Pelodiscus sinensis: one gene and its partners. The protein of the gene in region 2 interacts with the protein of the main gene of each other region in a biochemical or structural test. Links are inferred from orthologs where the notes say so. Each region holds a gene or a part of one and is shown on either strand. Other genes may lie near its edges. The genes, in order: DNM2, GRB2, DNM1 and SOS1.

Region 1 (7,371 bases), on a different chromosome or scaffold from region 2:
TCCAGATATACCCAGTTAGATTGTCCTGTTCTACCAAAGATATCCTACAAGTAGCAAAAGTCACGCATTAGTTACCAACCTTTTACCCGCATCCTTTAAGCTAGGACAAGCTGTAGAAAAGGCAGAAATTCAACACACTGAAAACTTAGGTCAGCCTGAGACAAGACAGACCCTTATAAGTGACCTTGCTCCCCAGGTCACAGGGGTTAAGCACCACAAAAGCAGAAACAATTAAAAGGGACTCGAGTCACACCAGAAGAAATAAGCCTTTAAAAACCCAAAGCTTTAGTGGACTCTACAGTCCACTTGTGCAGTAGCTACCCTGTCACCACACTACCTTGTGACTGACACCTCACCTCAGCCTCTCCCCCTTATCTAGCAAGCCCACTTGCTGCAGCTTGTCTTCGAATGCACTCTCCCAGAGCAGGGACTGGATCCTGCAGACAGATCCATGAAGGGTGGGACCGAGGCAGGAGCCTAATGATCCACACTAAGGATATAATAGAGCAGTTGACTAGTCGGTTATCCGACAAGCAGGTCCTTATTGGTTAATGTATCAACTACACGCAACATTCCTCTCCCCATATATTTTTTAGCAGGCTGGCTCAGTCGCAGCATTAACCCCCTGCACTGGTTCTTAGTGCTTATAGTGCAGAGCCACAGTGGGGGTTGATGCCAGGTCCCAGCATAAGCCGGGACTGAGCCAGCCTGCCTGCACACTGGCTCTTCGTGCCAGGCCCCAGCATCAACCCCTGCTGTGGCTCTGCAGTACAAGCGCTTGTAGTGCAGAGCCACAGCGGGGGTAGTGGCCGGAGCCAGCAGGAGCCAGGAGCGAGTGGTAGCAGTGTTACTCCTTACTGATTAATCATGTAGTTGACAAAACGTTTGTCCACTACACAATTAACCAATTACATGCTTCTTAACATCCCTAATCCATCCAGGTACACAATTTCCAGGTCCTGGTTTGTACAGCACCAGCAGAAAAGGACCCCATTTGAATTAAGATCATCATGGGCATTATTGCCATGGGAACAGCAAAAGGCTAGGACTCTGCTATAAGTCTAAGATTAACTTGAATGAAGAACAGGTTCCAGTTTCTAGAATTACGCTCTGGAACCTTGTCAGCTGCTCTGACAAAACTGTCCTCCCCACCTTGCAGACACTTGTTCTCCTGTAGATCCTTGTACCACTTTTTAAAGAGTCCTGAAAATTGTGATTAAGGAATTCAAAGATGCTGACATCTACCCCCACTAATCTGCAAGTTAAGTGCCATTAATGAAACAACAACCAAAGCTGTTCTGTTAAAGCATCACACAGAGCTTGACTTCAGCTCGAGCGATCAATACAAAAAAACCTCACACATGCATTCCACAATTCACTAACAATCCAGGTTATTCTTAGACCATTGAAACAAAATGCTGACCGAACCCAGCCTGACTACAGAAGCACTTTCTTTTTCACAGGATCATTTTTCAGCAGATTCTAAAGTCCATCTCCGCTCCATTTCCCACTGGTTTGGAAAACTATCACTGAAACAGGGATCATCACTTGAAATTAAATAGCCCATGCAGTACCACAAGTGCAGATCCAGTGTGCTCCGGGTATACCAGAACATTTGTATAAAGTACAGTTAGCTGGATCAAGTGGCACACTGGCTCCTACCAGTGCAGATTAAAGATCTTCCTCCTTGGAGTTTAAGGAATTAAAACAAATACTAGAACAACCCTCTACACCAGCTGGCCCACTCTGCTCATATCCTGCATCTTAACAGATCCCACCAGGCATGACAAACCACTTCCCCAATTCTTATCCCATTGAAGTGGGTGGAAGACGGTTTATGCAGAAGACAAACAGGAATTACCTAAGTCTTCTCTCTCTCAGGGTAACATACAGCTCGCCAGTGTAAAAACGGAACTGGAGAAGGTAAGGGATTTGGAGACAGAAACAAGAGAGGCCATGGCACCTGAGACCTTATGAAAAGCTCCACAGGGTCTATCAGGAATATATAGACTAGACAAGAGCTCAGCTTCTGCTGCAGTAGCTGGCAGTTCCCAAGAAGGTGCAGGGGGAGGGGGGAGTTAGCAGCAAACAGCCTCCTCCTAGCCAAAGTGCCAGTCCCAGCACCTTGCACCTGCAAGGCTCAGCCCCAGGGACCCTTCGGCAGGAACAGGGTGGCAGCAAGTGGGGCAGCGGCCTCTCGGGAAGGGTGGGAGTCTGCAGCCCTGCCCCCAAGGCTCAGGAGGCCGGCGCGAGCCCCCCCCCCCCCACCAGGCGCAGGATGACAGCTGGGGGGGGGGAGGAGAATCCTGCCCCCCCCAGGAGCCCTGCTCCTTGCGTGGGGGGCACCCCAGAGCAAGTCATGGCTCCTGACGGGGGGAGGGGGGCTCCATGCAGCCTCTGGGGCAGGGGACAACTGGGGGGAGCTGGCCTGTGCCCAGGACTGGGGGACGCGCCTGCTGCCCCACCCCCCTGCTATTCACAGAGCGCTCTACGCCCGCTGCGTCCCGCGGAGAGGCGACCTGGCTACGCCGCCAGCGCGCGCGCCCTACGCCAACTGCGCACGGCCCCGCTCGCGCCAGCGGCGCAGGACCCAGGGCGGCGCGCGCTCGCGAGTGACGCGAAGCGGATTCACAGACCGCGCCTGCGCCAGCCGCGGAGCCGCCCGGCCGCTCCCGTCCCGCCGGCTTACGCAAGCGGCGTAGGCGCGGCCGCGCGCTCCCCCAACGGCAGTACGCGGCGCGCGCGCTCACCGGCCCACGAAGTTCTCGAGCACGGAGCTCTTGCCCGCGCTCTGGCCGCCCACCACGGCGATCTGCGGCAGGTCCAGGTGGCAGCTCTGCCCGATGGAGCTGAACGCGTCCTGCAGCTTGTTGACCAGCGGGATCAGCTCCTCCATGCCCCGGTTCCCCATGGCGGCCGCGGGGCCCGGCTCCGCAACGGCTCCCGGCCCAGCTTCCCCTCACGGGCTCCTCATCCGCCTCCGGCGCCGCTTCACCCCTCCCTGCCCCGCCCCGCGCGGCGGCGCTAGCCAATAGGGACGGCCGTTCCATCAGAGCGGGCGGTGGGTGGAGGGCTGGGCCTCATCGGCGCGTGGCTATTGGTCGCCTGCCCTGTCACTGGCTTCTCCCAACCTATAGCGTTCACGCGTGACCTTGTCAGGAAGGCGGGATATTTAGGTCCCGCCCTAATATCTCCTTTCTGGTTCCTCATTGGAGGAGAAGTCAGTCGCTCTACCTTAGGGTTACGCCCTCTCCGACCCTCACTGCGCCCTGTCTCCATTGGTCAGAACTTTTGTCACTCTGCCACACCATCCATTTCATTGGGAGAGGCGGGACTTTTCGAGGAAAGGCGTGATCAGAATGTCAATCATCATGTCCCTCCTCGTTATTGGTCTCCTGTCCTCTTCCCTCCCCTCCCTCCCCCCGCCGGTACCGTATTCCTTCGTATAGAACGTATCTCAATCGAGTACCTCATTTCTCCGTATAGCAGCACGTTACATTAGCGTATGTCTTCTTAATTTTTTTACCATATATCTCCCTCTAGAAGCTCATGTTACATTACCTTAATTCTCTCTGTTTGGCAGCCCCTTGTCCATACAGAAGCCTACTATGAACCACCCCCCATGGGGTAACATAGCTCTCCTAGCTAGACAAGCTGCCCTCCTATATAGCATATTGCCCAGTTTAGACGCCCACCATTGGGCTACCGTAGTTCCCCATATAGAACCTGTCCAATGCACAGTTCAGCAGCGCCACTGAGAAGGACGCTTATCCTAAATCTCTTGCCCGACTCCAGATAGGTGCCAAAACTGTTTACAAACATTGTCACTTTATATGCATTTTATTTGCATCGCCGTTCTGCCTTGAGACCACACTCATGCTGCTGGAGCCATTTCAGTCTGCCCCCAGCTTCCTGCTACCCCCCACATGCATCCTTGGTAGATTAGCAATAGGAAGATTCCCAGTGGGCGTCGCAGGTAGCCCCTACCCACGATCCAGAAGGGCGCCACGGGGCACCCAAAGGTACAGGATGGTAAACCGAGTCTCAGGCTCTACCCCATTTTCCCACTGGAGGATGCACTAGTGCTGGTATTTTAGCCACTCTCTGCTGCTGCCCATCATCCAAGGTCTCAGGGCACCTTCCGCCCAAAACAGTAGCAAAGCCACTAGGGGATTTCAGGGAGGGTCTGCCATTGTTTCCTTTTTGGGGCCAGGGAGAGAAATTTCTACCTTAAATGATAATGCATTTAAAGGGCTATTGGTCTCAGGAATTTTTGTGGCTGGGGGGGGCGTTATTAAGTAGAAGGAGAGGCTCAGAGCTGGGCACAAGTAGGGTGACAAGATGTCCTGATAATGTCAGGATGGTGCCACTATTAGGGGCTTTGTCTTCTATAAGTGACCTAGAAGCCCCCGCCCCCAGCACCCTGATTTTTCACACATGCGGGCTGGTCACCCTATAGATAAGTGTCAGCCTTAGGGCAGAACGGACAGTTTCCAGCATTCCTAACGCCATCAGACTGGGGCTGGACCTGCTCTCTGCTGGATGTTTGCCTGAAGCCAGTTTCCCCTCCACTGAGCACAGCTCCTGCCTGCTTGGGTACCCTGACTTCAGCTCAGGAAAGTGTCTGCTCAAGCCAGGACGAGGCCAAACTTGCTGAAGGGTTTTTCTGCACAGTGACTTTCCCCACAGGCTCTAGGAGCTGCAGCAGCCCAGCCAAGCTTAACACCCTGGCCACTCACAGTAGGATGGGGTCAGGACCCAAGCCCGGTGCATCAGGCCCGAGAAGTGGCAGCAGAGCGGGAGCTGGTTGGGGAAGGAAGGGCTGTTCTGCACATACAATGCAAGCCCCGGAGAGAAAATCAAGCCAGTTTCCTATAGGACAAGGGGGCAGCCAGCTGGGAGGGGCAGCCCCTTCTCATCCACACCAGAAACCCAAGTCTTAGCAGCAGTGTCCTGGGAATCACATTCCCGATGGCTCCCCCATTCACACGGCCCCAAACTCAGCTACCGCTGAGCAGGCAACTTTCCAGAGCAGCGTGTGCAAGAGTGTGAATCAAAATTGTTGCAACCCCAAGGAAAAGAACCTGGGGGGGAGGGGGGGAGACAATCTCACTGGTTTGTTTCCATAGTCACAAGTGTTTGATTTTGACCGTTTTTTAAAGGTGGCGGGAGGATTTAGCAGAAAGCTTCCCAGCCGGTTTGCCCCAGTAATACCCTCTCAGCCCGCTAGTTCACCCTTGTGCCGCACCTGGGCAGCGCCTTACGCCCACTCCCTAGGGAGTCGGGGAGCAGGACAAACGCTCGGCCATGCCGCAGCCTCACCCCGCTCTGGAGGAAGTTGGGTTGTTGTCACTGCTTTGATCTCGGTTGGGTGCTGGGGCTTCTCAGGGCACAATCCACGGTCCCTTGCACAGGGACTGCACGGTAGTGCTCCCCCAGCACAATTCCTGTGCTCACAACAGAATTAGTGTGTCGTCTTCGAATCGCAACTGAGGCCCCATTGGGGCAGGTGCTGCAGAGACAGAGAAACAAACCATTGACCCTGCCCTGAAGAGCTCGCCAACTAAACAGACCCAGGGTGGGAGGGGAAACTGAGGCACAGAGTGACTGCTCAAGGTCTCCCAACACGTCTGTCCCAAAGCGGGACTAGAACACAGGTCTCCCCCGTTCTTACAAGGCATAGGGCTCATTGATTCTCCTTGGATTTTCCTCGGGTGCTGCTTGGCCTGGCTCTTCTGGTGCCAGGGGGTGCCAGGGGTACAGTGTTTACAGACCGGCACATACGGCCCTGACAGTGAGTGCTAGAGGAGGGAGGTTAATGGCTTCCAGGCGACCAAGGCCCATGGGTGAGACACAAGCTTTCAGGTTCCACAGAGCTCTCCCAGGACCAGGGTCAAGAGGCCCCCCCCCCGGCCGCCAGGACTTACACAGTGATCCTGAAACCATTACAGCCCATGCTTAGTGGAACTGCCCCCAGGTGACTGGGGATGGCAGGGGAAAGGGGTACAAGGAGGCCACCCAGAGGAACAGGGAGGGGGCACCCCTGTAGCAGGGCCATGGGAGATGCTCTTCCAGCATGCTACCAGGAGTCACCTGTGCCCCCCCCCCCAAGCTTCCCAGTAGAAGCAGGTTCTGCCCAGACCAGGAGCCCACAACTCACCCCAGCGCCAGCCCCTACCAGAACAGCTGCCAAACCAGCAGCCACCCCCACCGTGACCCATCCCCCTCCCCCACGCACCGCCAGGGGCCCACACACACCTGGCCCAGCAACACAGCTGAAACCAGACACTGGCGCTGCTCTAACACCGCCTCCCACGGGTGAGCACAGGGCACTGCCCAGGGGCACAAACACCTTCCAGAGAGGAGTCCGGGAGCGAAACGTCGTCATGTGGCTCGACTCTAGAAACCAAGGACTGGAGGCCCCTGGCTGTAACGCTCTGTAACCCACTGCCCCCCACCCCCTTGTGGCCCTGTGACTGCGGGGTGCTAGCGGGCGGGGGTCTGAGGACCTGCATTCGCTCTTTACGCCAGCCCCCTTGGATTGCGCTGGGCTGCCAGGAGCCTTTCCCAACTGCAAAGGGCAGTCAGGTGAGCTCAGGCGCTCGGTCCCCTGAGAGAGCCTTCCCCCGCCCCCACCTCTCAGGGACCCAGCAGCACCTCAAATGCTAGTGAAGAGGCAGTGAAAAGCCAACAGCAGGAGTCTGCTTCTGAGACTAGATCCAGGTACCCAACCGTGGAAGCCGGCAGCAATTTCCCCTCCGGAGAAAGGGCCTCAGCCCGGTGAGTTTGAAAACACCATGGCTCTGTCTAGTCACGGCTTCTTGCGCCAGAAATATGCAAATGAGCCTAAGTGGGGAATATTGCTGAGCCTCATTTGCATACCTAATGAGCCACCATTTTTGCAGAAGAGGCCCTTGCGCCAGGAGCTGTCTACGCTTCCCCTTCGTGCGCAACGCCGTTCTTCCTGAAAAGTAAGCGGCCTTGCGCAAGAGGGTGTTTGTTGCACAACCGGGGCGGTGTAGACAGCTCCTTCTGGCGCAAGGGCCTCTTCTGCAAAAACGGCGGCTCATTAGGTATGCAAATGAGGTGTGGCAATATTCCCCACTTAGCCTCGTTTGTAGACGTAGCCCATGACAACTTTGGGCAAGCTGAGCTGCTTTCAGGAGGGGGTGGGGAAGAGATCTGCTCATTAACTCCCTCTAGAGCCTGCCCTTATCCATGATGCATTTGGGAGCGTGCACGCCCACCCGCCCCGCAACCGGCGAGAGCTCGGACCACCCACTCCGCCAGGCAGCTTCCTCGTCTAGCAAAGCGTGTCGGGGTTTGGTTGTGCCAGGACAACAGGCCCTGCCTGGAATTCAATTGTTTTCT
Region 2 (6,950 bases):
TTGGCTATTTGTTCCTATTGGCCAGTTGTTTCTAGCCTCTCAGAGGTGAGGATTCAGCTAGGGGCAAGGAGATTGCATGAATCTTCTCCCTTCCTGCAGAGCAGAGAGATGCACAGGCTGAGCTTTAAACCACACAGCTGCCTGGGACAGAGTCCTGGCCAGGTGGGTGTGCGGGCCAGATCCAGCCCCTGGGCCATATTTTGCTCAGCCCTGCCATAGAGGCTGTCCAGTTTGGCCAAAAAGTAAGATCAAAGTAAGTTATTAAATAAACATGAATAGAAAAGGGATAACTAGCTCTAATTCACTAAGAAACTGGTCATATGCAAATTCTTACTCTAAACAACTGTTCTTATTTCAGGCATCAGCTTCAAAACACAGATGATCTTTTACTCTGATTTTGGTCTCCAGACTTCTTTAAAGTTCTTTTTTCCTCTTAGGGTGTGCCAGGCAGTCTCCAAAGCCAGCTGAAGACAAGGGGGATTGCTTCCCGTTGCTTAGTATTCCCAGCCCTGAGGTAAAGTCTATGTTTTACATCCCTGATTCCATGGGAAAATACCAGGTTCAAAATGGATTTCAGTACCAGGTGGTATAGTCACCTGTCTTCCTAGGATGAACCATGACTTGGACTTACAGGATAAGCAAGACTATTTACAAATTTATCACCAAGCCATTAGGCTTCCAGGGCACTAGTAAGGGCTCTCATTAACACAATTAAAACTATAAACAGACTCATACTTCATAACTTCACACACAAGAATGATACATGCACCAAAATAGGATATACACATCCAGCAGATTGTAACATTAAAATTGATGTTACAAAAGGTATTTTGTTTAAAGGATCTTTGAGTTATACAGTTTCACAAGTTAATTTTCATGAAGCATGCCACACATAAAGCTCAGATTTCTGCCACAATCTCACAAACACAATCATGATCTAGTAAGAGTGTCTGAATAAACTGCAATACAGGTCCTCATTTTCCTAGTTTAGACAAAAGAAATCCTTATATATTAGGGATGTAATAGTGTAGTCGACTAACTGATAAGCAAAAGCTAATAGGTTAATGATATAGACTACACGCATTCCCTCTCCCCTGCTGCCAGTAAATTTTCTAGCAGGCTGGCCAGCAGCCCAGCTCAGTCCTGGCTTATAGCAGGTCTGGGACCTACCCCTGCTGCAGCTCTGCATTTAAAATGTATTAGGAGCCAGGCAGGCAAGGCAGCCCAGCTCAGTTCCAGCTCGCACTGGTTGTGCTCAAGAATGCTCATATGACCATCTACATATTTTGTTAGTCTCTAAGGTGCTGCAGGACTTTTTAAATTTTTTTAAATTGAATTGGTTATCATCCCAACTAAAATGTTTAAGGAACTGGTTTTCTATGACACTGTATACTAAATTTCAGCCAGTGAAAAATCATGGAGTAGTCCTATAGCACTTTAGACACTAACAACAAATTTATTTTATGTATATGTATAAGCAGCTTTCGTGGGCAAATCCCACTTCCTCAGATAAGCAGAAAACTCATAATTTATGGCAAAAATAGGAAGTTTGCAACAGAATCCATATATTTCTTGCATCAATGAAGTAGTTAATGTGATTCTTTTGCACAAATGGAATTTAAGTTTGCCTTTAAAGGGGCCTTTTCATCACTCCTTGAACAGGCTACTATTTCTTAGCCCCAACTCCGAAAAAAATTAAAGGTTTGTAATTGTTTGCAGGTTAATAGTCCCAGTGAAGAATATTCACATTCACAAAGTTATTTATGTGCTTAAAATCTTTGTGGGATTGGGTTTTTAAAGAACATGGTTTTTAATCCTCAGCCATCTATGTCCAGGTTATTTTGGAGAATAAAGATATGGATTTCAACTTTTTAAAGCTAAACCGCTAATGGCTCAATTGCTTAGAAGAAAAAGTATCCATCTTGTTTTATCCATAACAAACATGGTGATATTAACCATAGAATTAAAAAAAAAACCTTATATGAATACAAACTAGACTTTAGTTATTCTGAAAGCAGCATAGTTTAGAATCTTTATACAAAACACGCACTATAATCCGTTACCAAATCCCCATTTTCTGTTTTTGTTGCATACATTCTTCATTTGTTCTTTCTAGATTCTTCTTCAGTTTTAGGCATATATATTTTTTTAAAAAGCAAATATAAATTTATGCTGGACTCCTACTCTTCAATAAATTGAGAAACTTACACACAAAACCCATCTAATCTATCCCAGGCATCCACTCACACCTTTACAATTCCATTAAATACTCAGTGTTACAGATTTACCGCTGAAAACTAACACCACAGAAGAAGAAGAAGAAAATCAGTATCAATATTTAGCAGCGTGATGGCAAAAAGATGACCCAATTTTTCTTCCATGCAAATCTTTCTGGCAGGGGGCAAAGGGATGAAACACTAAGTTGTGGATTACTATCAAAGGGTGCATCTCTAGAAAAAAAATAATCCAGTTAATAGTACTTCTCAGCTACTGGTCTATGCTCTAGCTCTCTGCCATTAAAAACAAGCGGGCTGGAAGATGCTGTCGAAGAGCAGCCCAAGGGGTCAGAAGGGCTGTGGAGGAGACACGGGGGAGGAAATGGGATAGTGTGTGGGTGGGTGGGGGGTATTTCCAGAGATGGTGGGGCCCGAGTGACTCGGGAGAAGAGGGCTCGCTAAGCCTCCGCGGCTCTTACCTTGAGGATATCCCCCCGTTTGAAGCTCAGCTCGTCGTCCGCGGTGGCTTTGAAATCGTACTTGGCGATGGCTTCCATGCTGGGGCTGCTCCGCGAACAGCGGCGCGGGGGGTGGCTGGGAAGGGAGCTCTCCCTCCGGCTCCGTCTACCCCACTCACGGGCGGCCCTAGGGGAGGTGGAGGAAGAGACCGACCATCAGGGGAAGTGTGGCACGGACGGATGGCAGGGGCCGCGCCCTGCTCCTCTCCCTCCTCCCGAGCCAGAACCGGCCGCCGCTTCCGCTTTCCGCCGCTTCCTCCTCAAGCCGGGGCTCCGCCCGGAAGCAGCCAGAGAGGAGTGACATGGAAAGCGGCCAATAGCAGCTAGGACTGCAGCGCACAGGGCAACGCGCAGGCGCACCCCATCCAAAGAGCTGGGTGCTCCTGCGCGTGCTTTCTCGGCCCCCGGCCTCATTGCACTAGGCCGCAGCGCGCTCTCCCCTTGGGGACTCCATATTCGCGCTGTGGGGACACACAGAAAGCACCCACACTCCTAGCCCCCCCATGAACTCAGGGCAGGACCAAGCCCCATCTAGACTATCCCTGACAGGGGTGGGTCTAACCTGCTCTGAAATAGCTCCACAGCCTCCCTAGGCAATTTATCCCAGCGCTTAACCACCCCGACAGGAAGTTTTCCCTAGTGTCGGACTAAACCTCCCATTGTTTCTGGGCCTATCCTCGTGGGCTAAGGAGCAGGATTTTTCTCCCTCCTCCTTGTAACACCCTTTTATGTACTTGAAAACTACTATCATGGCCCCTCTTCTCTAGACTAAACAAATCCCAGTCTTCCTCATAGCTCATGCTTCCTAGACTTTCTGTTGCTCTTCTTTGGACTTTCTCCAAGTTGTCCACATCTTTCCTGAAAGGTGGCGCCCAGAACTGGACACAATGCTCCAGTTGAGGCCTAATCAGTGTAGCATAGAGTGGAAACATTACTTCTTGTGTCTTCTTTACAACACTACTGCTAATACATCCCAGAATTTTTTATTTTTTTTTGCAAGAGTGTTCGAAACACTGTCAACTCACTTAGCTTGAGGTATACCATGGGGGAGGAAACCGTGCCTTCATGATCTTACCCACTTGTGATATCAAGTCCCACCTTCCACCCCCAAGACAGTGTATGCATGCGCACACACCTTTTCATCCTTCAAGCATCTTAATAAGAACAGAACTGTCGCTGCTCAGATAAGTGGGAGAGGGAAGGACACACTCTCAGGAGGGAAGCTAGGGAGAAACTTTAGAATTGAAAAAATTATATAGCCTAAATGTTTTTTATTTCCTTCTATTTTTTAAGTGAGACGATATATGGGATTACATTCAAGGGCATAATTCTCCTATCACAGGACAGAATCAAAGCAAATTAGCCTAGTCCACCCTAGAAAAAGAGGGCCATTTAGAAGTGTCATAACCCTCTCCCCTGAGCAAGATTGTACTCCTAAGCAATATCTTCTATACCAGCAGAAGTTTCTAGTGTAGACCTGACCTAAGATATTTCGATACACCAACCCATCAAAAAGCAAATCAAATGAACAGACATCCATTAAAATGTGCACACTTTTTTCTTTGTCTGTGGCCCATTTCCAAATACGCCAACAGCCTGCTTCAATAGAGAAATAAAATCCCCTTTGACTGCTCACCCCTTGCTACGCAATATAACTGACTACAGCCTATAATTGATGGGAATCTCATCCTGAACAAAATCTTTCCTGAACCTCACTTCTGGCCCTCAAACAACCCCCAACTTTTCCTAGCTCAAACACACCAACAAAAACCACACTAACTCAAAGTGGCACCAGAGCATGTCAGAACAGCAGATGCAAAGGCTGCAGACATAGCTTTCCACTGCTGCAATGCTCACCATGCTCCCTCCCCCAAAACACATCTTTCAAGATCCATGGACCCTATATACATGCCTACCACAATATGTGATTGTGACAGGTTCCCCTTGCGTGCCATCTGGAATTGGGGTACCACTGAGCCCACTTAACCCACTAGCCTGGGTTCCCTTCAATACTGTACTGCAATGACAAGATGACACATCCTCGCCAAGGCTCTAACTTAAGCTTTTACCAGCATATATATAAACCCAGCTGCTACATAGTCCTGTTTTTTGTTTCAGCTACACCAGACTAACACGGCTACATTTCTATCACTATTATTTTGAATGACTGACAATTCAATGCAAAGAGGTCCTGAGGCTGTTAATTATCAGTTGCTAGTTGCTACATAGAACAAGTTTTTGTTACATAGCACTCATAACCTAAGTTCTTTCTAAGTTGCATGACCATGCAGCAAGCTATCAAGGACTGTGCAAGAAGGGAGAGGTACCCCTCTCTTGGTCTAGCCTAGCCTGAGCTGCTGTGGTCAGGGAGTTGCACTCCTACCCCATCCAGAGCTGCCGTGGCCTGAGAAAGGTGCCACAGCCCAGGCCAGCTCCACTCAACAGAAAATGCACCACTGTGCAGTAGCCCCAGAAAACAACCAGATGAAAATGTCAGTCACACTTCAATCAAGTTACATAAGGAAAATAATTCACGAATAAGAAAAATCGCCGCTTCATTTTCCTGTCTAGTAAATTCATCTACATGGCTCCGTCGACGTGTTGGGCCTTGCCTAACTGATCAACTAGCTCAATTTGGGATATTTCATTTAACTTCCGGGGGTTATTACAAAACTTCAGGGTGCCATCAGGCTTTGGGACTAGGGCTGGACCATTGGCTGTGGGGTTTTTCAATCACCCCGAGTTCCAGCATCACCTCCATCTTAACTTCTTCACTTTTGGCCTCCAGTATGGTTTCATCTTCACCCTTGCTCTGGGACAGATGACAATATAGTGTTGGACCATCATCCTACAGCCTGGCTGCATGGAGAACACCCCTTAGTTCCACTTGATAATGTCAATGATGTTTGTTCATTGTTCTGGAGTTAATTCAGGGATAACTGCCTTTGTGGGCCATCTGCCTGGGGTAGAGCTCCCTGTGTGACCAGGAATGTCTACCAGTTACACCATGCTTTCTGATAGTTAACACTGTGGATCTGCTCTGGCCTTTGGCAGTCTGGTTGCTTTATCTTGTAGTCTGCTTCCCCAGCAACTTCCACTATCTCATATATGGCCCATGCCAGCTGGCCAGTAGCTTGCTTTCTGCTATTGGTACCAGCACCTGGTATCCTGTCTAAAATCTCTGTTTTCACCCAGTGGCTGTCATAGGTCTTCTGGGCCTTCTTCCAACTGCTCTTATACTTTGGGGTCAGTTGCACTATTTTCTCTCTCTAGAGCTATGTGCTCTATGACATTCTTCTCTGGGTTGGGCTGTTCTTAATCCTGCTTCATGATATTTAACATGCCACAAGAGTGGAGAATCCCATAGACACTTTGGGGACCTCCTGTATTGCAAACATCAGGTACAGTATCAGGGTATCCCAGTCTTTTCCATCCTGGGACACTGCCTTCCAGATCATGCTCTCGGGGGTATGATTAAATTGCTCGACCAGGCCATCGGTTGGAGAGCGGTAGACTGAGTCCACAAAGCCTGGATGTAGAGCAGTGTGCATATGTCCCACATTAATTTTGACCTGACGGGAGTTCCTTGGTTGGTCAGGATTTCCTTAGGGATGCTCACTCTCACAAAAACCTGGAACAATTCTTTTGCTATTGCCTAGGATGTGGGATTTCTTAGGGGAATGACTTATGGATACCTTGCGGCATAGCCAAGGATGACAAGTATACTTTGATGCCCCAGACCAAACTTCCGAGTGGGCCCACTAGGTCCATGGCTATTCTTTTTTAAAAGGACTTCAGTAACAGGGCCTGTAAGTGAGGTTGGGGGCTATGCAATGGGTGTTCTGGACAAGAGGCTCAGTAGCGCTAGACTTCCACCCATACCCCAGGCCAGTAAAATCTCTTTCAGGACTCTGTACAGGGTCCCCAAATAAATGGCTGTGAGCTTACTCTAAAATTGCCCTTGTGTGCTTCTGTGCTGCTAAGAGCTGTTCTACTTCCCTTCATATTTGTGCTACTTGTTGTTTTCCTCCACTACCTTCTCCCTTATATTTGCATATAGAATGTGTGACAGTTACTCCCACCCTTGCTTTATGAAAATTGGCTTGTGAATATAGAGGTACGTAACTTGGAGATGCTTTAGACAAAATACTTCATGTAAGCTATCAATTTTAATGTTACAATCTGCTGGATCTGTATACCCTATTTTGGTGCATGT
Region 3 (7,206 bases), on a different chromosome or scaffold from region 2:
TAGTGAGGTCATGAGCCCTACTGAGACAAAGGTCACTGGCAAATTATGGATAATATAATTCAGTTCATTCACCCTCCGTCAAGCCGCTAAGCTCAAGCTCTGCATTGGAATCAGTGAAGTTACAATTTGTCCCCTTCTGCTTGCTCTATCTAAAAGAAAGGAGCTATTTGCTCTGAAACAGCTCTTGCTCAATGAACACACTTGGTACATCCTTGCTGTAGTCACCATATAGAACTTCCACAAAAGATAGATTTGGGGGGACCATGACAGCAACAAACTCAACGGGCTAACCAAGGTTTTGCTCAGTAACAGTTCTGGGAACCCTTTTTCTCTTCCCAGCAGGTTTGATCACAGTGGGTTGTAAGCTTTTGAGGGCAGAAACTATCTTTTTGTTCTGGTATTTGTGCAGCACTTACCACTATGGGGTCCTGCTCCACGATGGGAGCTCCTAAGTATTGTGGTAATACAAATAAACCATAATTATAGCGGAGGCTTCTGGACAGCCTTCCCACATCCTGATTCCCAGGTACACTAATTCAGAATGGAATCTCTGAAATAGACCATTGAAAATCAGCAGAGAAGAATCTCAGGCTCTTTTGAGTATGTGACAATGGGAGATTTTATTTAAACAACTCTGATTCCTGCTATGTTTTCTTGTTCCTCAAAAACAGCAGCAGTGGCATCTTCCTAATGCCATACTGAGTCTCATTGCTCAGGGTCACCTGAGCCCCTGTACAGCATACTGGACTTACTCTGTTCAAATACCACAAAAACTGGAGCTATTTGGGCTCATGACAGACTCTTTCAATGATAATAGAGCTATAAAATAGCAGATGTCATAGTGCAGGGGCTAGTAGGGGCGAAAGAGAAGGAGAGTGCCCATGCAATAAAGCAGGGGAAGAAGAGGGAGAATGCAGTTGGTGGAAGAAAGTAATTCCTCCCAGGGAAATCAGCACTAACCTGTATCTTGGTCATAAAGGATAGCAGTGCCTAATAGGGAAGGATTATAGCAAGCCAGGGCCACAATAGCTTAAGCAAGCTACAAACAAGCTCAGGATACACTCCAGGTGTTGTGTATACTATGTGTGTGCAGACCACCTTCCCTGATCATCTGGTATTTGTTGAAACTGCTGGTGATTAATGTGAAGGTCACATGAAGGGAAAGCACCAGAATATCACGGTCACAAAATGGTAGCACCCAGGGAGTTGAACACGTAGGGGAATAACCATTGCTTTTTCTGCTTCTCCCCCCAGCTCCTGACATGGCAGCCACTATGGAGGACAGAGAAAGGGGTGGGGGAAAATGAAATTGAACTTAAAGTCCACTGCTGCACAGCCTCACAACAAGCACATCCATCTTTAGGTAGCTGCGTGTGGTTCAAGGCATGTCCTATATCTAGCCAGGTATAATCAGGAGCTGAGGACATGCTATGTGAATCCAATCTTCCTAGCATTTTCTTGTGGGATTCTTCAGGGTGAAACTTAAAGCAAACAAGAAATCTAGTCTTGATGGAGCTAGTCCTCAGATCACCATGGCTAAAGGGCATCTTGGTATTAACAGGTTTTTATACAATTATTTATCTGCACACACAATATTCACTGATTAGTATTTTTTTAAATCACCTTAGATAATACATTGCCAAAAAAGATGTGGAACCTGTATCATTTTTGGTTCTGGCTCGCAGGTCTTTGACGTGATAAAAATAAAGGACACACAAGAGTGTGGCTATTTTCCCCCTGACATTTCTGTCCGTGACATTACATAACATATGGAGCACTAGTCTGTGCTTTACTGGATTTCCATGATTTTTTTATATGCAGCCATTTATGTTATTCGTTTTCCCCTTGAAGCAGTGCCTTCCTCCCCACCCTGCCAGTGCCCACAGCAATTGTCCTCCAACAGCGGGGGGGGGGATGGGGGGGGGGGAGAATTCCACCATCCTGGCTTCTTGCTCATCCCCAGGATTCTGCCTTCTTGTATGTAGCTCCCAAAAATAAATAAATAAACGATTTAGGATTAAAACCATTAAATCCCCTGGGATGTGGGCAGCACATCAGCTCTGTTCCTTCCTACTCCCTCTCCACCCCCAAACAAATGGCTTCTTCTGTGCATTAGTCACTCCAAAAGCAGGATTTGCCTGATGCTGCATTCTTCCCTCAACCTCTTTCACACTCACTCTCCACCTCACCCCTCCCAGCCCACCAAGCAATATGCTGCCCGCCATTGATCAATTCCCAATTAGATATTACCATTTCAAAGCAGACATTTATACAAACACACACATGCACTTCTATGCTGAGGGGAAGAGGGCTCTCTTGCTAGTGAAGGTGACAATCCAGGGAATGTCACTGTTCACAGAGACGCCTGATATCTGCATTGTAGGGTGCAGTGTGTGTGTGTGTGTGTAGCAGGGGCTAGGATGACGGTTCTCCCAAGAACCTCAAGTTGAAGAGGGCAAGATCGGCCCCCCTCCTCTGTCCTGTATTGCACTGCATTAAGCATTGCATGGCATGTCCGTTGAGCAATGCATTGCTCCCATAACCTCCCCTATAATCGGCTGCATTTTAAAAATCTTACCTGCCCACAAAATTTTCCAGCACTGAGCTCTTCCCGGCGCTCTGTCCGCCCACCACGGCTATCTGGGGCAGGTCCAGGTCTGCATTCTGACCGATAGCCGCGAAGGCATCCTGGAGCCTGTTGACCAGGGGGATGAGGTCTTCCATCCCTCGATTCCCCATGTCTGCAGCTCTGCTGGGCTCTCGCTGCTGGGCTTGCAATGCAGACGCCTCTCTCCGCCCGCTTCCCTGGCAAAGGATTTACTGCTGGGCTTTGGCCCCCCAAGTCCTCATCAGGGGTTGTCCCCAGCCCTCAGCTGGGCGGTGCGTTTGTTTCCCCTTCACTCCGCCTAACCTAGGTCCCTGGTCTCTGCAGCAGGGCTGCCACCCCGACTGCCAGCTCAAGCACCGCTAGCCACCCGGCTCCTCACGGGATTTAAAGCGCACGTAGCATCAGCGACCGCTAGGGGGTGTTACGTGCCCTACTGTGCTCCGAGAGCTTCATGGGAGTTGTAGTTCGTATAGGTAAACGTAAAGGTGTTGAGAAGGGAGCTACGCTGGGAGCCAGGCGTCTTGAGAGTATCCGCCTTCAATAGCCTGGGATCTGTTCCTATACAGGGACATTAAGAACAAGGGAGTCTGCCGGGGTCTGATGGAAACACGGCAAAAATCCTCCATCGTAAAAGGGGTTCAAAATTGGTATTCAAATCAATCCTCCAAAATGTGAAACCTGGAGGATCTGAATATTTATTGATATATTTGTAATGAAAAAGCCAGAAATATTTCACTCCTCCCAAACAACAGACTCCCCCCCATACACACACAAATCTGTGCTTTCAATATTCAAGAGAAACTGCAATTAATAGCTAAATGGTTTTTAAATTACATCTTTGTAAATAATCTCTGTTCTTGTAAATGGACGTACCTAGCTTACTAATAATTAAAGTAGAAGGGGTTTTTTTAATTTTACTTTTAATTTACTTTTAATTGTTTCTGCAGTTTAATTTCTGCTGTTTTGTTCCCAGTCCGTTTCAATTTCTGGTTATAATGCCCTAGACATTGTTGCTGTTTGATTTACAAAAAATGCAAGGAAATGTTTAATCATATGTGTTTCCACTGTTTCTTTTAACAGTCTGAGACAATAAAGAGGAACTAATTGGCTCAGTTTGCAAAATAATGTTTTTACAAAAATAACATTTACAGCCATAATTAAACTGAAAGTGTTGTTGGAAAAACAAAAATATTCCTTACAGGTAAGTAATTTCACTCTGGTCATGTTGTTTGCAGTCCAAGTCCGCCCCACCCCCACAATCTTGATAAGAGGTTTGCTGTAATCAGCAATTCTAAAATGTACATAAAATTGAATGTATTTGATGGCCGCTATTAACATTTTTTGCAAGGAGTAGCACCATCAAACTATTTGAATATTGGATTTTATCCTCATCTGTCAGTTTAACATTATAAAAAGAGGCATTTCCTTCTGAGTGAGTCTGTGTTCCAGAAATCATCACTTTGATCATTCTGTTCCACGGGAGATATGAAATTAAATTAACACATTTGTGTTTCCCTTAGAAAAGGCTTGCAAAAGAACGCTGAAAGTGCACTGTGGCAACAACTGACATTCATGTCTTAAAAATCTGACTAATATATAACCAGAGGGATGGAGAAGAGCCAGAGATGCAACAACAGGATTTCTCGTGAGTTCTCACTCAGCTATCTTACTTTCATATTTATGTTTCATAAAATTAGAATTTAAATTACCGATAACCTTTGGCTCTCAAGCTACACACAACTTTGGAAGATACCACAGGCCTGATGTGAGTTCTTTATACTCTGCCTTATTTCAGGAAGAGCTCTTATACTGTAGACTGACCAATGATGGTGTGTATGTCAGCTGTTTGTAGTTATTCAAATTAGAACAGTGGTTTTCAAACTTTTTTTCTCATGGCTCAGTTGAAGAAAATCACTTGAGCCTGCAACCAGAGTGTAAGGAAGTATGCCTCGGTGCACCACTGCAGTAAGCACTGACTGCACTCTGGCAAGAGCCGGCTGGGGCACTCAGCTCATGTAGAGGGACCAACTGAAGGCGCGCTGTAAGGGATGTGTGCGTACTCTCAACTGGGTTAGTGAGAGGGGCTAGTGGTGGGGGCTCCAACCTCCATCTAACCTCTGTAGTCTGTCCCCAGCCATTGTGCTCCTGGGGCAGACCTCACAGCTTAGCTCTGGCAGCCCAGCGACTGCTGCAGGAGCTCAGCCCCTGTGGCCGAGTTCAGGTTCCTACTAGGGATGTTAAATATTGGTGAATTGAATAGTTGAGTAACCTCATGAATTCTTATCAGTTAGTCCACTGTTGTATAGTCCCTGGGGGCAAGGCTAGCAGCCAGTACTCTCCAGCCTCACTCCCGAGAAGACCCCTGCCACTCTGTGCTACTGCCACTGTATCAGAGAGAGCAGCGTGGGGTGACAGCTGGGAGCTGGTCCATGAGAGAAGCCAGTTTAAAAACTAGCTCCCCTTGTGGACCAGCTACCTGTTGTCCTGTGCTGCTGCCTCTGATAAAGAGGCAGCAGTGTGGGGTGGCAGCAGCCCCTGTCTAGGGAGTGGTCTGAGCTTCTGAACTTGGCGTGAGCCGGAACTGAGCTGGGCTGCCTGCCTACCCAGCTCCTAATACACTTTAAATGCAAAGTTGCAGCGGGGGTAGGTCCCGGACCCATCACAAGCCAGGACTGAGCCGGGCTGCTGGCCAGTCTGCTAAATAATTTACTGGCAAGTGGGGGGGCGGGGGGCACAATGCGTGTAGCTTACAGCATTAACCTATAAGCTTTTGCTTATCTGTTAATCGACTAAATTTTTACATCCCTAGTTCCTGCCCTGGCCGCCTGGCCAACAAGGCCCCAATCAGGGCTCAGCCCCCATCTGGCTGCAACAGCCTGTCTCTGGCCCCCATCCTGAGGCAGGCTTAGTGGTCCAGCTCCCATCTGGCTGCAGGAAGGGCTGGTGGCAACCCCCTGTCCTGCCGTGACCTAACACTCCTGCACCCCCCATACACTCCAAATGTTGTGCCCTGAGTCCCTCATACACCTGAACCCCCTGCTCTGATCTCCTCATGCATTCCAGCTCTGATTCCTGCAGCCCCACATCTCCAGCCCCTTGCCCTAACTCCTGTACCCCTACATACCCTAAACTCCTGCCCTGAGCCCCTCATACACTCCAGCCCCTGCCATAACACTCCTGCACCCCACACACACACTCCAACCCTGTGCCTTGAGCCCCTCATACATCCAAAACCCCTGCTCCAAGCCCCTCATCACTCCAACCCTGTCTCCAGCACCCCCCACATCTCCAGCCTCCTTCCCTATCTCTTGCACCTCTGCCCACCCCAACCTTCTGCCCTGAGCGCCCCCCCCCCCCCGCCCCGGTGCTCCACTGCACACTTAAATTTCTTACAGGTATAGTTGTATCACAACTTTTGCTATAAGCCCCCTCCCTTGGGTTGTGTTAGGACAGTACCTGTAAGAAATGTAAGTTACTTTCCCCCCTGCCTCCAACCTGACATAATTTGACTAGAGTGTGGGCTGTGGAATGGGGCTGAGGATGAGAGCTTTGGGATATAGGAGGGGGCTCCAGCTTTGAGGGGGGACGGTGACAGGGCTGTGGCAGGAGGGGCTTACTTTGAGTTGCTTTCAGTCAGCGGTGCAGCAGGGGTGCTAAGGCAGCTTCCTGCCTGCGCTGGCACTACAGACCATGCTGCACCCCAGAAACAACCAGCAGCAGGTTCCCAGTCAAGAGGAGTGCGGAGCTAATGCTCGGGGCAGGGGCAGTGTGCAGAGTCCTGTGCGCTTTCCCCACCACCACGTAGGAGCCAAGCCTGCTGCTGGCCACTTCTGTGGTGCCAGGACAGGCTGGTAGCCAGCCTTAGCACTTCCACTGGTCACCTGATCCCCCTGCAGCAAGGAGACCCAGTGCCTGACCCAGTACTGGGTCATGAACAGTAGTTTGAAAACCACTAGACTAGAAGTCAGAGGCCCATAAGTGTATGTTTGCCGACTGCCCAATGATGGGTTAATCTGGCCCTGACCAGACCAAACCAAATACAAAGAGGAGACACTATTACAATTTGGCTCCTGCTAATAAACAGCTGATTTTCAGAGGTGTTAAGCACCCACAGCTCCCACTGACTTCAACTGGATGTGAATGTTCAGAACTTCAGGCAATCAGGTTATAAAGTAACCCTACACCAGGTGGTTCATGTTCTTGAGCCTGTGTGTATACAAGAGACGTCTATAAATAGACAAGAATATAAACCCTGAGGAAGGATTGGGGGAACAGGCTAGGTGTTTATCAATATAGGAGAATATATACACTTTTTCAAGTGCTTAGTCAGTGCTACAACACTTTGATCAGATGCTCTGAGTTATTTAAAAAGACGGTGTCTACACTAGGAATCTATTTTGAAATTAGTAAATGCGACTTAATAACTCCTGATTTAACAAATTCAAACTAGTGTGTCCATACTATGGGGAAACCTTGAAATTAGTCCAAACCAGGGTCCGTTAATGTGGACACAGTACCTTAGACTTAGAGCCCCAGGAAGTACTGGGGAGTAATTAGTTTGAATTACTCTGGGGAGTAATTATTTTGAAATGGTGACA
Region 4 (7,458 bases), on a different chromosome or scaffold from region 2:
CACCATAGTCTAAGAGCCTGTTACTTCTGAGAACACATCTGGAGGGATGAGTGAAGAAGTGTGTGAGTAGGAGATATAGAGACGGGGGATTGGGAGGTTCTGTGGGGGACAGTAAAAGGCTGTTTTAGAGAGGGGGAAGCTTAACAAAGAACATAGTAAAGGATGGAGAGAGCACAAATGAAACAGGATGTTGCCAAATTATGCAATAGAATGGGGGGGGGGGAGAAAATCAAAATGACCATTGCGACTCTCATGATCGGGGATGATTCTGCAGCTCTTACAATTAAATATATGCAAATAGGATTTATTAATAACCAGAGCTCAACAAACTGCTGTTTCTACTTGCCCGTGGTAAGTAGATTTCAGCTGGTCACTCTATGCGCCCCATTCTCCGGCACTGCGCGCATGCACGGTGCGGGGCTGGCGAGTAGCTCTCACCACAGTTTGTCGAGCCCTGTTCATAATAATTGAGGAGGACTGAGCTTTCCTTGCATCTGGTGGAAGTCATTCCCCTCTGGATAATTCTAATAAAGAGCAGTTCATAGCCTTTAGACCAGTGTTTCTTAAACTGTGTTCTGCAGCACTGGTGTGCCATGAGATAGTTGGAGATGTGCCGCGGAGAGCAATAGAGTTCAAAATGGCCATGCTTAAAGGGGCAGGTGACCTTTTTTCCTCAACTTTCCCCCAACCCCTCTCTTTTTTTTTGGTCAACTTTTCCCTGACCCCCCTTTTTTCCCTCAACAAAAAATCCTTGGTGTTCCTCATAAAAAAAAATGGTTTGGTGTTTCTTGGTCTTAAGTTTAAGAAACACTGCTTTAGACTGTACAGGAATAGGCGCATTAAATACAGCTTCAGGGAGAGAGGGATGGTAAGCCTGAACTTCGGAGAGGCTTCACTTAGCTCTGGTGAGGATAGGTGCACAGAGTAGGGAACTGGAACCCTTTGAGGCCAGCTCCAGATTGAGCATTTTCCTGATTCTGACTTCTGCCTGTGAGACATTCCCCAAGAAAGAGCAGGAATTCTCCATTCTATGAGGGATCACTATAAACGCTGCTGTTTCCAAAGAAGAGAGCATTTGGGCAACTTCAATTATGTCTGGACTTTACTCTCCCACTAAAGCAAAATTCTATCCCCATTCGAAGATAAGTAAACTTCTGTAAGAGCAAGGGAACACAATGTAATACAAAGGCCACCTTCACGCGAGGAAAGCATCTGGACAGGCTGACAGTTGGTGGGTCTTGATTGCAGTTTGTGCCACTTGGTCTCTCTTGGAAACAAGTGCCCCTCTCAATCGCTGGGGACCTGTAGAGGTGACTGCTGGTGTCAGCAATACTGGAGGAAAAAAAGTCAAGTCATTTTGTCTTCTGGTTTCTCAGCTATTGGGGGTTACACAACATGGTTCTTTTTTTTGCTGAGAGAAACTTTTAAAAAAATCATGTGGGTTAGACACTTCATTTAAAAAATGAAAGCTGAGATTCTTAATCACTTGCCTCCAGGAGCTGGAGAAAATGCCAAATATTTGTGAAATGCACTTTATAGACTAACAACATGTAGATGGTACCATGAGCTTTCATGGGCACAGCCCACTTCTTCAGATGACTGGAGTTATGAGTTTGGGATGTATACACTCAAAATAAATAGGAGGGGAAGGGGAGGGAAGAAAAAAGCAGGGGGGTGGGTGGGAGACAGAGTATTAGTAAGTATCTGGAGAATGGGTACTTAAACGGAAGCAGATAAAAATCAAAGTCAATAGAGCCCCCTGTCAGGAAGGAGAAAACACAAAGAGCTGTTAGCACCTTCAGTGGTTGTTAAATTGGGAGTGTCCCAACCAGCTTTCATCACAATTGAGTCCATTAGCATGTGAATTGAATTTGCAGATGAACTGTAATTCCAGTGTTTCCCTGTGGATCTGGTTTGTAGAGCTGGTTTGTGACAAGACAGCTACTTTGGAGACCTGTCTGTGATTTGGAAGGTTGAAATGTTCCCCAATAGGTTTCTGTACATTCCCTTTACGTATCTCTGATTTGTGTCCATTGATTCTTTCCCGCAGAGACTGTCCAGTTTGTCTAATATATGTAGCAGTGGGGCACTGCTGGCATAGATCAAATTACTGGATGTGCAGTCAACTAACCATTCAATTTGGTGGCTTATCTTGTTTGCTCTAGTGATGAATTCACCAGTACAGAAACATGGGCAGAGTTGGCTGCAGGGCTGGGTTCCTGGAGGCTTATGATGTGGTTGTGTGGCATGGTTACCAGAAAGAATTTGTTTCACATTAGGGGGCTGTCTGTAAGCAAGAATAGGTCTCCAATCATCTGAAGAAGTGGGCTGTGCCCACAAAAGCTCATGATACCATCTATATGTTTTATTACTTTATAAAGTGCTACCAGACCATTTGTTGTTTTTTTTCTGTAAGGGTATGTCTACACTTGCACCCTCTTTTGAGAGAGGGATGCAAATGAAGACATTTGAAATTGCAAATGAAGCTGGGATTTAAATATCCTGCACTTCATTTGCATAATGGCATTATGGCGCTATTTCTAAATAACAGACGCTATTAAGACACGGTTATTTCAAGAGAAAACTCTTCTCTCGAAATAACCTTTTTTGCTCATACAATGAGGTTTACCAGTTATTTCAAGAGAAGGATATTTAAATCCCAGCTTCATTTGCAATTTTGAATGTCTTCATTTGCATCCCTCTCTTGAAAGAGGGTGCAAGTGTAGACATACCTTTTGCGGAAAAGGTACCATACCATACGCAGCTGCTTTTGCGGAAAAACTTGCCAGCTGTCTACACTGGCTGCTTGAATTTCCGCAAGAACACTGACGATCTCATGTAAGATTGTCAGTGTTCTTGCGGAAATACTGCTCCCGCTCGGGCAAAAGCCCTCTTGCGCAAATGCTTTTGCGCAAGAGGACCAGTGTAGACAACACAGTATTGTTTTGCACAAAAAAGTCCCGATCGCGAAAATGGCGATTGGGGCTTTCTTGTGCAAAACCGCATCTAGATTGGCACGGACGCTTTTCCGCAAAAAGTGCTTTTGCGGAAAAGCGTCCTTGCTAATCTCACGGAAAAACTTTTCCATTAAAAGCATTTGCAGAAAATCATGCCAGTCTAGACGTAGCCGAACAGTTGTTCTTGTGCAAAAACTTGCCAGGTGTCTACACTGCACACACATTCTTACGTAAGTAAATTTAAGTACAGCGTCAGAAAACAGGGCTTTTCCCGGGAGAGTTATTCCTCTCCCCACGAGGAATAAGCCCTCTTGTGCAAGAGCTCTTCCACAAGAAGGCAGTATAGACGGGCAACATGATTTTCTCACACAAGAAAGCCCTATGGCTAAAATGGCCATCAGAGCTTTCTTGCACAAGAGAGTGTCCACAGTGCTATGGGCGCTCTTGCGCAAAAGCACATTGCTTGCCCAAAAGCACATGGCAGTGTTAATGCGCCCTTGCGGAAGACCTTTTACACAAGAACTCTTGCGCAAAACAGTTCTTGCACAAGAAGCCTGCAGTGTAGACGTAGCCTAACAGACTAACTCGGCTACCCTCAAAGTAAAATTGCTTGGCCCCTGGAGCAGTTTCTCAGTTGATGACAGTCCTGGCAGTTGGTGCGGGTTAACAGTTTTTGTCATCTGAAGACAGGTGATGACACATGTTGATAGCTGATCACTTGTGGTTGCAGGTTGTGACTGATCAGGAACTTTTCACCAGCTGCTTCCATGTGATCAAAAATTATGGCCATGTTGTGTCTGTTCATGAGTCTGACAGCTGGAGAGAACTGGTTACATTTGGCGTACAATGAGGACAAGTGGAGGCCGTTGGTGCCAATTTGGGATATTTTGATGGAGGTTGCAAAACCGAGTGGAAGCGTGACAGGGTTGGACATCTGTGCTAGGGGGTGATAATTTGACGGTTAGTGATGGTCTGTCTGTCTCAGAGCTGGTGAAAGAGGGTAACACTTCAAGGCCATTTGACAACAGGTGACATTTTTGTTGTGGAGATGGTCACAGCAGGGCTGTGGTGTGGGAACGTGAGGGTTTCATTGCACGGCTGTTGCAAAAGGTGGGGGGGGGGGTGAAGCTGTTGTCTGCCTGGCCCCATAGGACACGTTTTGCCCCTTCACTGGGAGCCAACAGTGGAAGCTGCCTGGGCTTTTGGGGTGGGGGGGGGGTAGGTAAAGCCCTGGCAGCCGGGGGGGGAGGGGGGCAGGTGAGAGGGCATCAGCCAGGTGGTCCAGGGCCGGGGCCAAAGAAGGAGCCGCTGTAGCCCCTCCCGACCTGCAGGGGGCGCTGCCTGCGGAACCGCTTCCCCGCGCCGGCCCAGCTCGGCGCTCGGCTGCGATTCCTGGCCGCTCGGCCTGAGCCGCGCTTCCGCGCTGAGGCTGGGAGCGAGTGGGCGGGGCGCAGGAGCAGGCCTGGCGCGCCTGCGCCGTCCCTCCCCGCGCAGGCGCCCTCGGGAGTAACCGTCCGGGCGAGGAGAGAGGGGAAAAAAAAAAAAAAAAAAGCCCCGAGAATTCCAGCCGCGCTCGCGCTCCCGGCGCGCAGACCCCTCCTCCTCCGTGAGGCGGCGCGTGTCCTTCCGCCCTGCGGCGCGCGCGGGCCGGGGCCGTCCGTTGGGCCGGGCATGCCCGCGCGGCTGGCGGGGCAGGGCGGCCGCGCGCCTCCCCGCCGAGCGCTCCGCCGGCCTCGGAGCCCTGCGCGGGGCGGGCGCTGAGGCGAGACCGGGGCGGGGGCGGGATGCGGCCGCCGCCCCCCTGCGCTGAGCCCTGGCGGCTGCTGCCCTCCGGCTGCCCGCGCCGCGCCCCCCGCTGACCCCCCCGCCGCGCCCCGCGCCCGCCGGCGGCAGGATGCAGGCGCCGCCGCTGCTCTACGAGTTCTTCAGCGAGGAGAACGCGCCCAAGTGGCGGGGGCTGCTGGTGCCGGCCCTCAAAAAGGTGAGGGGGCGGGGCGAGCCCCCGGGGGGCGGGGCGTGGGGCCGGGCGGGGGAGGGGCGGCCCAGTGGAGGGGAAGGATGGGGGGGGGGTCTCCAGTGGCCTGGACGCTGCTCCCGCCACTGAGGGGGAGGGGCGGCCTTGTGGGGATGGTCCAGGAGCCACCCCCGGCCCTTTCCAGGAGTCGGCTGGGTCGCCCCCGGCCTCCCCGCCCGCTGGGCCTCCCTTCGCGCCTACGGGCGTACGGAAAGCAGCCGCAGACCTCGCCGAGCGCCACGGCGCGGGCCCGAGACGTGACCGAGCGCCCCGGCCCGAGACGTGACCGAGCACCACAGCGCGGGCCCGAGACGTGACCGAGCGCCCCGGCCCGAGACGTGACCGAGCACCACAGCGCGGGCCCGAGACGTGACCGAGCGCCCCGGCCCGAGACGTGACCGAGCACCACGGCCCGAGACGTGACCGAGCGCCACGGCCCGAGACCTCGCTGAGCGCCACAGCGCGGGCCTGAGACGTGACCGAGCGCCACGGCCCGAGACCTCGCCGAGCGCCACGGCCCGAGACCTCGCCGAGCGGCGCGGGCCCGAGACCTCGCCGAGCGCCACGGCCCGAGACCTCGCCGAGCGCCACGGCGCGGGCCCGAGACGTGACCGAGCGCCACGGCCCGAGACGCCGCCGAGCGCCACGGGGCGGTGTTACGGCAACAGGAGCACTTGGTTCATTTTTATCGTTTAGTTATCTAATTGATCCATTTGATTGGAAATATCGTACTTACGTTTCAGGGTATAGTCTATGCAGCAGCATACACAAGTCACTGGCTATGTGAAGGTTTCATTTTGTACTAGGGATGTAGAATCCCATGTAATTGGTTAACCGGTTAAATGTGAAGTTTGCTTCACTTTTTAACTGGTTAAGGGCCCCCTGCTCCCTGGCGGAGCCAGGCTGGAGCAGACCCTGCATGTGCACCCTCCTCCCCCATGTCCCTCAGGCCTGCTGCAGACAGGGGCTGTTGCAATCTTTTGGAGCAGCCCCTGTCCGTGGCAGGCCTGGCGAGCTGTTCCAGCCCTTAACCAGTTAACTTTTCACATTCCTACTTTGTATTGATTTCGCTAATGCTTTTTCTTTAGCCTCTTATAAAAATAGGCAACTATACAGATAAGTTTATGTACCCCTGGAAGACCCATGCATATCCCCAGGTATATGTACCCCTGGATGAGAACCAGTGGTCTAGTTGCTATCTGAAAGAAGTCTATGTAAAGGATTCTCTAAGCTTTGTCAGTAGATTTGGAGCAAAAGTGTAGGGAGCAAGAGTGTAGGAAACATGATCCTATCCTATTTTACTAAGGCCAAGTCCACACTAACACTTCACAGCATTGTAACTTTCTGGCTCAGCCACACTCCCAGCGCTGTTAGCTCCTCCCCTCGCAGAGGTGGTTTACATAAGGCGCTGGGAAAGCTCTCAGCACTCTTGCGGTGGCCACACTTTCAGTTTAAAGTGCTGCTGCGGCTGCACTTTAAACTGCAGCACTTTAAACTGTTAAGTGTAGAGAAAGCCTTACTTCTGGTTTGTGTCTTGGTGCTTCTCTGATGTCGAATTTGTGGTGTGACGGCCTAGTTTATAGCCCAAGGGTGGCTATTTTTTTTTTTTCATCATTACAGCCTCATTTATCTGCATTAATGACTGGCTGATACATCACATGATATCAAATATTGCAAATACATTTTAAAAATTAACTATTTCATATCTGTTGTTTTGTTTGTCATAGTTCATATTGTACTGAATGTACTGCAGTAAATTTTATGACCTTCGTAATGAGAGATCTCACTGTGCAACACTATGCTATTAAGCATACTGAAACACAGGGGGAGATTCTGATAGATTTTTCTTAAGTTGGTATGTTTGCAGATAACAGTACATTTGGTTAGGTTCTCTTGTGTTGTCCTTTTGTGGATCGTTGTTTTTAGAGTAACTATATTTTGTCAGGCTCACTTAGTCTTACCATACCAAAGAGATCAGGCCAGTGAAGCCTTATCCTTGGACATCCTTCCTCTTGTGTTCCAGCTTGGCTCAGAAATCTATTGTTATTGTTTAATTGTAACTTTTTGTGGGACTTCCTTTCTTTTCCAAGTTTGTTAGTTGTGGAATGATTTTTCATCTCAAAGTTGCTTGTTGTCAATCTCTTGTAATTTCTGTTTTTAAACAAATATCGCTTTAAAGGAACTTGCACAGCCTTTTACACTGAAATATTTGTTTATCCCCCTGCATGTTTGTGCATATGAAATTTCTCAGCTGTGATGGTTAGCCTATGTGTCTTAGCCTTTAAAAATAACATTCAACTCTTTTTATTAAAGGAAAAATATAATAAATTCTTAAGGCAGAACTTAGAATTTTACTTTTAAACTCTACAAGAACTTGAGGGGGTAGACTTTTATAGTGAAAATATTTTGCTTAATTAGAGTTGTGGCTTAATGACCTGACTTTAGTTTTAGTATAATTTTGTAAGAATGCCTTTTGCTAAGGATGCT

Evidence for each region.
Region 1: the proteins of GRB2 (region 2) and DNM2 form a complex in vitro, tested with the Homo sapiens proteins (3 studies listed by BioGRID and IntAct, with this or other methods). The link is inferred for Pelodiscus sinensis from reciprocal best matches to the Homo sapiens genes GRB2 and DNM2.
Region 3: the proteins of GRB2 (region 2) and DNM1 form a complex in vitro, tested with the Homo sapiens proteins (5 studies listed by BioGRID and IntAct, with this or other methods). The link is inferred for Pelodiscus sinensis from reciprocal best matches to the Homo sapiens genes GRB2 and DNM1.
Region 4: the proteins of GRB2 (region 2) and SOS1 form a complex in vitro, tested with the Homo sapiens proteins (15 studies listed by BioGRID and IntAct, with this or other methods). The link is inferred for Pelodiscus sinensis from reciprocal best matches to the Homo sapiens genes GRB2 and SOS1.

Annotation. Positions count from the first base shown.
Region 1 is NW_027465894.1:173,557-180,927, reverse strand, and holds the start of DNM2 (dynamin-2), read right to left. Parts: upstream 3,009-7,371; 5' UTR 2,912-3,008; coding exon 2,751-2,911; intron 1-2,750. UniProt on the Homo sapiens protein: Catalyzes the hydrolysis of GTP and utilizes this energy to mediate vesicle scission at plasma membrane during endocytosis and filament remodeling at many actin structures during organization of the actin cytoskeleton.
Region 2 is NC_134730.1:12,214,514-12,221,463, reverse strand, and holds the start of GRB2 (growth factor receptor-bound protein 2), read right to left. Parts: upstream 3,009-6,950; 5' UTR 2,774-3,008; coding exon 2,696-2,773; intron 1-2,695. UniProt on the Homo sapiens protein: Non-enzymatic adapter protein that plays a pivotal role in precisely regulated signaling cascades from cell surface receptors to cellular responses, including signaling transduction and gene expression.
Region 3 is NC_134732.1:11,330,153-11,337,358, forward strand, and holds the start of DNM1 (dynamin-1), read right to left. Parts: upstream 3,006-7,206; 5' UTR 2,740-3,005; coding exon 2,579-2,739; intron 1-2,578. UniProt on the Homo sapiens protein: Catalyzes the hydrolysis of GTP and utilizes this energy to mediate vesicle scission and participates in many forms of endocytosis, such as clathrin-mediated endocytosis or synaptic vesicle endocytosis as well as rapid endocytosis (RE).
Region 4 is NC_134713.1:196,919,880-196,927,337, forward strand, and holds the start of SOS1 (son of sevenless homolog 1), read left to right. Parts: upstream 1-4,458; 5' UTR 4,459-4,851; coding exon 4,852-4,938; intron 4,939-7,458.